Tribolium castaneum: one gene and its partner. The protein of the gene in region 1 purifies or fractionates together with the protein of each later gene. This does not show direct contact. Links are inferred from orthologs where the notes say so. Each region holds a gene or a part of one and is shown on either strand. Other genes may lie near its edges. The genes, in order: E3 SUMO-protein ligase RanBP2 and nuclear RNA export factor 1.

The links.
Region 2: the proteins of E3 SUMO-protein ligase RanBP2 (region 1) and nuclear RNA export factor 1 purify together in Drosophila melanogaster (affinity purification with western blotting; 3 studies listed by BioGRID, with this or other methods). This does not show direct contact. The link is inferred for Tribolium castaneum from reciprocal best matches to the Drosophila melanogaster genes Nup358 and sbr.

What each region holds. Positions count from the first base shown.
Region 1 is NC_087394.1:28,918,330-28,922,153, reverse strand, and holds part of E3 SUMO-protein ligase RanBP2, read right to left. Parts: coding exon 2,299-3,824; intron 2,251-2,298; coding exon 2,021-2,250; intron 924-2,020; coding exon 1-923. UniProt on the Drosophila melanogaster protein: E3 SUMO-protein ligase. Component of the nuclear pore complex (NPC), a complex required for trafficking across the nuclear envelope.
Region 2 is NC_087399.1:3,671,057-3,674,980, forward strand, and holds the start of nuclear RNA export factor 1, read left to right. Parts: upstream 1-1,136; 5' UTR 1,137-1,273; coding exon 1,274-1,328; intron 1,329-1,381; coding exon 1,382-1,644; intron 1,645-1,694; coding exon 1,695-1,781; intron 1,782-1,829; coding exon 1,830-2,264; intron 2,265-2,312; coding exon 2,313-2,422; intron 2,423-3,924. Other genes in the region: Rint1 (RAD50-interacting protein 1), read left to right, coding at 1-49, 142-668, 717-930. UniProt on the Drosophila melanogaster protein: Mediates the export of the majority of mRNAs from the nucleus to the cytoplasm. In ovarian follicle cells, plays a role in transposable element silencing regulation by enabling the nuclear export of flamenco (flam) transcripts and subsequent piRNA biogenesis.

The DNA of each region.
Region 1 (3,824 bases):
CAGACTGTCGCCTCCTCCAAATATCGGCTTATTTGTACCTTTACCAAAAACTGCAGGTGAACCCCCGAAAATACTCCCCGTTGTGGTTGTGGCCGGAGTACCAAAAAGACTACCCGTGGTTTTAAAACTGCTCGTAGTGGTTGCACCCCCAAAAATTCCACTAGACTGAGCTGTGGTCGTTGGGGTCGTAGCAGCGAAAATTCCCGGTCCCGAACCGAAAACTGGGGTCGATTTCGAGCCGAAAATGCTTCCGCCACCGCTTCCGAACACACTACCGGACCCGAAAATACTTCCGGTTGATTTCGCAGCTGTTGTTGGCGGCGCGAAAATGCTGGAAGAGGTAGTGTCGGGTGTTTTAGCCCCGAATGTGAACGATTCGTTCTTGGTTTCACTGGCCGTTTGAAAAATCGAGGGCGATTTTGAGCCGAATAAATTGCTTGAGGTGGCAGGAGAAGAGAAGATATTCGATGAATTGTTGGCAGAACTGAATATTCCACTGGAAGTTGTTACAGGAGTGACCAGAAGTGACGGTTTGCTTAGAAGACTTTTAAGAGTGAGCGAGCTATCGGCAGGCGATGATACTGTCTCAGTAGCTGCTTTAAAACTGAACACTTCTTCTTTCGGTGTCGTGAAAATCGAACTTGTGCTAGAAGACGTACTGATAGATGGCGTATTCGAATTTTTGAAAATTTGACTGATTGGAGGGGTTGCGGTAGACTTTTGGTCGCTCGTTTTGAAGAGATCTTTCAAATATTCGTCGTCTTTTTTGCACTGCGCGCATTGACAGTCGGGTAATTGACGATAAGACATAAACTTTGGAGGCAACATTAATCTGAGAGCTTCTTTTTCTTCTTCTGGTGTTACTTTTGTCTCGGAAATGAATTCCACGTCTTCCCCTTCGGATGTTTCATCAATTTTCTTGCCTACAAAATTTTACATAAATGAAGATTTATAACATTTACGACTACTTTTACCTATGATTAGTAGTAATTAGTGCTGTGTTAGGTGATTATTGGGATTATTTGGTGAAATAAAAATCCAATTGTTATGCACGAATTTTATTTATTCCTTTATAAATGTACCAAATAAAACCAACAATACCACGGGTAACAAAAACTAAAAAAAGTAAAGTGTTTTGACGATGATATAATAAAAATTTAACGTCCTCACACTTTACCAATTTTTTAGCGAGTTGTATCACATTGTTAAGACATTATTAAGCTACGACAGTTTTGTTAATGGTTATTGAATCACTGTTAGGAACATACTGTGCCGGTACTGGTATAAAAAATAAAAGCCTGATTAGAAAAAAAGCTCAAGAAGCATGCACATACGTCTGATATGAAAATTACTTTTTATTAAACTTTTGTTTATTTGAAAAAAAAAATTACTGCAGTTTCTTTTAACATGTTACGAAATTATTATTGCACACAACTGATAAAATAAGACAAATTGAAATTTAAAAATATTTGCTTAAAATGTTTTAAAGCTGAAAATAAATATCTTTATAAAAAATCTTGAGGAACAAGTAAAAAGTAAATAGAAGTGATAAATCTAAAAAATGATTAAAAATTACATGTGGTCAAAACTTTTAGTATTCCTTCAAACCACTGATTAAGTCAGTAATAATGTTTAAACATAATGTTATAAATAATTTATAAAAAAATATCAAAAGCTGTAAATATTATTCAAGAATACACACATGTGCACAATTATTTAATTAAAAAAATTCAACTCTAATCTTTATTACCTAATTATTCATTTCAATCCGATAATTCTGATTCATTTAATAGATTTACCACCATAGTTACAAAAACATCACATTAATAAGTTTAAATATCACAAAACCCAGATCTAGAATGAAATAAATAAAAATGAGCAAATTCTTCACAGCTCAGATCGTAAATTATTCAACTTGACCGTCTACTGTACAAATAATACGACGCCATAAGAAAAATCGTGACAGTAGCGACAGAAATAACTAAATTACAATTTCCATCGCAAAACTTTGGCATCTTACCTGTATCACAGGACGCTCCACTCAAAGCATCGTTCACAGCCTTCATAAATTCCTGAGCAATTTCAGCGTTCTTAAACCTAAGACAAAATTGTTCTTCGGTTATTTCGCCTTCGGAATAATCCGACGCATGGAACAGCCATGTCTTATCATCCTTGGGCAAATACTTAATGTCAGTAGTGAGAATATGGTTCAAACAAATCTTAAACACTTGCTCCCGCCGCATCAAAACCCTGCAATTTTACTAATTAAAAAAATACGTTTTTTACCACAAAACTCACCTTAATTTGCCGGTATCTTTCCGCCTCAAAATCTTCAAATCACCGATTCCTCTCTCCTTCCATTCCTTATCCACGAAACGGTAAAGCTTCGCTCGATGACAATACAAGACGTCCTCTTCCTCCTCACCCGTCTTCACTTCAACCTTATCCGGGAGCGGAATCACCGGTTTGAAGTAAATATTATCAGCCTCTTCCTCCACGTAACTGGCATCAGACTCCTCGTCTTTACCGCCGCTGCTGATACGTCTGGGTGACCGCGGAGTGAATTCAAAATCGTGCTTTTGTGGCGAGCCAAACACGAATTTTTCAGTCGCTGAAGTGTCTTTTTTCTCCACACTGACATTGGGTTTGAAAACGAACGGTTTCTCGGTTGATATGCTACTCTGGCCAAAAGTAAACGTGGCTTTAGCTCCGGCTTGAGTCGAAGGAATCCCGAAAGTGTATTTCTGACCCGGAGTGTCCAAATTGACACCTTTCGGACCTTCCTTTTTCGGAACTGTATCATCTTTCGGACTCTCACATGCCACACAATAAACGACATCGGAATTGTTCTGGATTAGACAATTCTTACACTCCCAAGACCCTTCCTTGGGCTTGAATAAATCGCCCCAGCCGGTGGTTGGCTTGTCGGCAGTTTTCGGAACCCCGAACGTGAATTTCAAACCACCAGTGTCCAAATTCACCCCCTTTTCGGGCTCTTTTTTCGGAATTGTGTCGTCTTTGGGCGATTCACACGACATACAGTGTGTCTTATCGGCGTCATTTCTGATGTAGCAAGTCTTGCACTCCCATGAACCTTCCTTAGGCTTGAAGGCGTTGCCCCAGGAGTTGGACACGCCAACTCCGAAAGAAAACGCAGCTCCAGAAGCGTCACTCTCGCTTTTTTTCGGAACTGTGTCGTTTTTAGGTGTCTCGCAAGCCACACAGTAGTTGGCTTTGCCGTCGTTCACAACGAAGCAATTTTTACACTCCCAACTTCCCTTCGCCGGTTTGAACTTATCGCCGAAACCGGTCGGTTTAACCGGAGATTCGATTTTCGGGGTTTTACCCGACACGCAGTTATTTTCATCGAGTGACTCTTGAGCGGTTTGGATGGCTTTCAAGAACGAATTAGCCAGCTCTTCTGTTTTGAATCTTATAGCCAGCGTTTCCGGTTTAAGGACGCCTTCAGAGAAGTCTTTCGCGCACCAAGTCAGTGCTTTGGGATTATTTGTCATGAATTTAAATTCCATGTTTTTGAGTAGTTGGTGGTTACAACACACTTTCAAGACTTGGTCTCGCCTCATGACTAGTCTGATGGTTGTTGCGTCCTTAAGCAGTTTGAAAACACCAACTCCTTTCTCCTTCCATACTTTCGTTTCTTCACTCGTGTCAAAACGGAGGATTTTCGCTCGGCTCTCAAACAAGACTTCGCAATTTTCTTCGCCAGTTTTGACTTCGACTAATTCGGGCAAAGGCACGACTGGTTTGAACTCAGCCGTTGGAACAAACTCTTCAGTCTCATCATCGACCGGTTCCTTAGCTTT
Region 2 (3,924 bases), on another chromosome or scaffold:
CACGATCTATTACATCGAGAATGTTTTAGTTGATTGGGGGGCAATGTTGGTACGGCTGGCTCGAACCGTGCGATTTGATTGGCTGAACGCAGACTTTCAGCCAATCAAATGGCACTATCTATACTTATGCAAGTGTTTCAGCACTATTTGAATTTATACTACTACAAAAGCCAGTTGAATGACTACAAAGCACCCACAAGCCCGTCAAGTGATTCGGACGACTTTGACCCCACGGATATTGAGGGTGAAACTGTTTTTGCCGAAACTTTATCACTCTATAGGCACATGAGACGCGACTTGTTATTTAATTTATCAGATTATGTCATGTTGGAAGTCAGGTCACAAGGTAAAGCCTACAGGAGGGAAAGGTGGTCCTCTATGAATGTCGGTAAAGACATCAAAGGCCTGTCTTTAACACCCACAGCCTGCCCTATTTTCGAAATCGTGGCTAAACGACTACACCAACTGCAAAAAACTCTAGCTTCGAAACTTTTTACGATAGTTTGGCGCTCGGTTGCGCAACAATTAGATAATTACCTCTTTGAGGATCTTGTCCTTGATAATAGATTTAACACTGGAGGCGCTTTGCAGTTAAAGTATGACGTAACAAGGAATTTACTGCCGTTATTTTCGCAATATACCGAAAGGCCCGAAACGTATTTCGTCCAGTAAGTTATTTACTCAGTCGGTAAAGTGGAAAATAAGAACTGTTGCAGACTGATTGAAGCTTGCAATCTTTTAAATATAACTAAAGGGTCCGCTTTGCTACTACGAGAGACTCTCTTGGCTCTTGAGGGGGCCACAGGTATTGAGGACTCCCGCGGGAGAGCCCTCAAGGAGGTTGGGGTGGTCAGCTTCACCCCAAAAATGGCCGTTAAGATTCTAAACCAGCGCACCGACATTACTGTTAATAGGATGGACGTTGATTGAAGCATTTATACGTTTTGTTGAGAAATTTTATAATAAATGTTTTCCCCACCATTGCATTTCATTGAATCACCCTGTAAGTGAATCTAGAGTAGAGTATAAAATGTTACTTCTGGGCCAGAATATTTGGCGTCTTAAAAAACAAGTCAGAACCTTACAAATTTCCTGTACTCTACTATTCAAAAGTCGGTGATTTTCTCAGGGAATTTGGCCTCGCCTTGTTGGCAGCGCGTATCAATGGCGTTTACTTGTCGAAAGTGAAGTGGTGTTAAATCAGGCTCAAAAAAATTATTAAAAAAACAATAATAGTTATAGTTAAGTGCTAGTAAGTAATTGAGACGCTACTATGGCCTCAAAGGGCGGAAAATACAACAAACCGTCGTGGAGAAGCCAATACAGTGGTAAGTCCCCAGCACACTCCACGCGATTCGTTTAAAACGCAGTAAATTGCCAGAGCATGATTTTCGCGGCGGTGGCGAGACCCGCAAAGTGAGTTTCAAGTCAAACAAGTATAAAAAGGACAATAGAAACTGGGCAGCGGCGAGTAGGGCGTACCTGGAAGATGAAGACATTGACATGGGGGCCTCGTCCGGGGGCGGGCGAAACTTCAACCGGAAGCAGTTTAAAGGCAGACGGGGCGGTCGCGGGGACTCGCCCGTGCCCAATCACAAGAAACGGCGGCTTTTGGAGAGCCCCTTCGGTTGGTACCGCGTGACAGTAAGTGTATTAAGTGAGGCTTTTTGGGGGTTTTACACGTGTTTTGCTAGTTGCCGTTTGGGAATAAATACGAGAAGGCGTTCGTCTTGAAGACGCTGCTCGAGCGGATCCAACCTTTGCCCTTGTGGCCAATTACGGTAATGGTTTGTTTGTGTGAGGGTTTTTGACTGATTTTTTGTCTCCAGTGGAGTGTAAACGGCACAACTGCCACTTTTTACATGGATGAGTTTAAAGCCGCGGAAAAGCTGTACGATTTAGATCGCCAGATTCAAATGCCCGACGGGTTTAAATTGCTGATTAAGGTCAGTCATGGGATGCCAAATGTTGACGTTAATAGTGAGATGAAGGAGAAAATTAAATTAACGATGGCTAAGCGGTACAATGCCGCTAATAAAGCGCTCGATTTAACGAAATTCCACGCCGACCCTGACCTACAAGACAATTTCTGTGTACTGTTCAAACCGATCATTTTTCTAACAGTTTTGGAAATAATCGCGGAGAATATCCCAGAAATTGAAGCGATTAATTTATTCGATAACAAAATAGCAAACTTGTCGTATTTAAAGAAGACCAATGAGAAACTGCCCCATTTAAAAATTTTGCATCTAGGAAATAATAAGGTAATGTTGTTGCCCAAAATCGGGGATTTTGTAAATTTGGGGATTCAGTTTAAGGATCTGTCAATGTTGGACCCTTTTATTGGACTACCTATCGTCGATATTGTTTTAAATGGAAATCCATTATGCAACAAATACAAGGACCAAGAGGCGTACATTGGGTAATGTTGAACTAATTTATTTTTTGTAGTCATCATGTTATGAACGTGAATGCATATGAGGGTGACTGGTTATCGGAGATTGTCACTTGAATAAAAAAGAGGTTTTCTGCCAACAATGGAATAAAAGTACTTGAAAATTATTAACGAAATTTGTTGTTACGCAAATTTCAAAGTCCCAAATTTTCGCGATAATTTGTTTAAAACTTAAGTAGCATTACATGTGGCTTCGTTGCATTGTGGCTGAATTCTGCATTTGGCAACCTTTTAATATTATTGTTTGACTATAATTAAGTCACTGAAGTGTATAAAAATAAAAAAAAATCACATACAAACATTTCCATGGGATTACATAATTTTTGTTTTGTATTATCAAAGTGAGAGGAGGTTTCTCAAAGGTGCGTCCTTACAGCAGTTACGAAGCTTCGTAAAGCGATAGCTGGACAAGCATTGCAAGATTTTGCTGTCCATAAACAATGCAGTTAGTTTAAGAAGACAGAAGAACTACAAGGAGTGGACCAGAACACTTAAATGTGTATGTAATTTGGCAAAAATGCTTGTAAATCAAGCAGATTGTCTTGTTTTTCTGCACCTTAAACAATCAATGACTCCTCATAGTACAATAATTATTATATTTTTTTGTTTTATGTAGTAATCTTATGGAATTGATACAAGACATAATAATGAAAAGAAATACTAAATAATACCGTTAAAAAATTGAAAAATTATATGCTCTTCAGTGGCGATTTATTCTAAATTTATTAGTTTTGTTGTTTAATGCAGGAGTAATATAAATTGTTGATCGTGTAATGCTGTTTTAGTTTTAAATTTACGAAGCTTGTCTTACTTTGAAATTGTGTAACAACTGTCTGATCGGTTGCAAAATTCCTCGGAGGTTTAATTCCCAAAATAACAAACTTCAATAAATTTTGATTGTTTAACACTTTGTACAAAATTAGATTTTCGTAAGTTTTTGAATTAAACTGAAGAGGGCACAAAATACTGGAGCTATTGTATCCTATTTTTTTTCAAATAAATAATGTGTTAGGAAATGAGAAGTGGCTGAAAATACGGTACAAAAATCACTAACTCAGAATTTGTGACTAAATCAATTTCCGTTCCTAGAAAAAAAATCAGCATAAAGCTGTATTTATTCTTTTTCATTTACATAATAATTTTTTTTTCGCCCAAATACTTCTTGAATGAGTTTATCCCACTAATTCACAATTGTAACATAGTTATAATTCCGTTCCTAGAAAAAAATTCAAAATAAAGCAGTATTTCTTCTTTTTTTATTTACATAATAAAATATTTACAACATATTTACATAATAAATTATTTTTGCTTAAATACTTGAATGAGTTTCAACGTTTCATCAAGGGTGGATTTTATAATCGTCAGATAAACCCCAGATAATTTATTTCTAGTATAATTACTATGGTTACAATTGTTATAACAATGTATTTTTCAAAATTTATTTCTTAGATAAAGTAATCCTACGATTG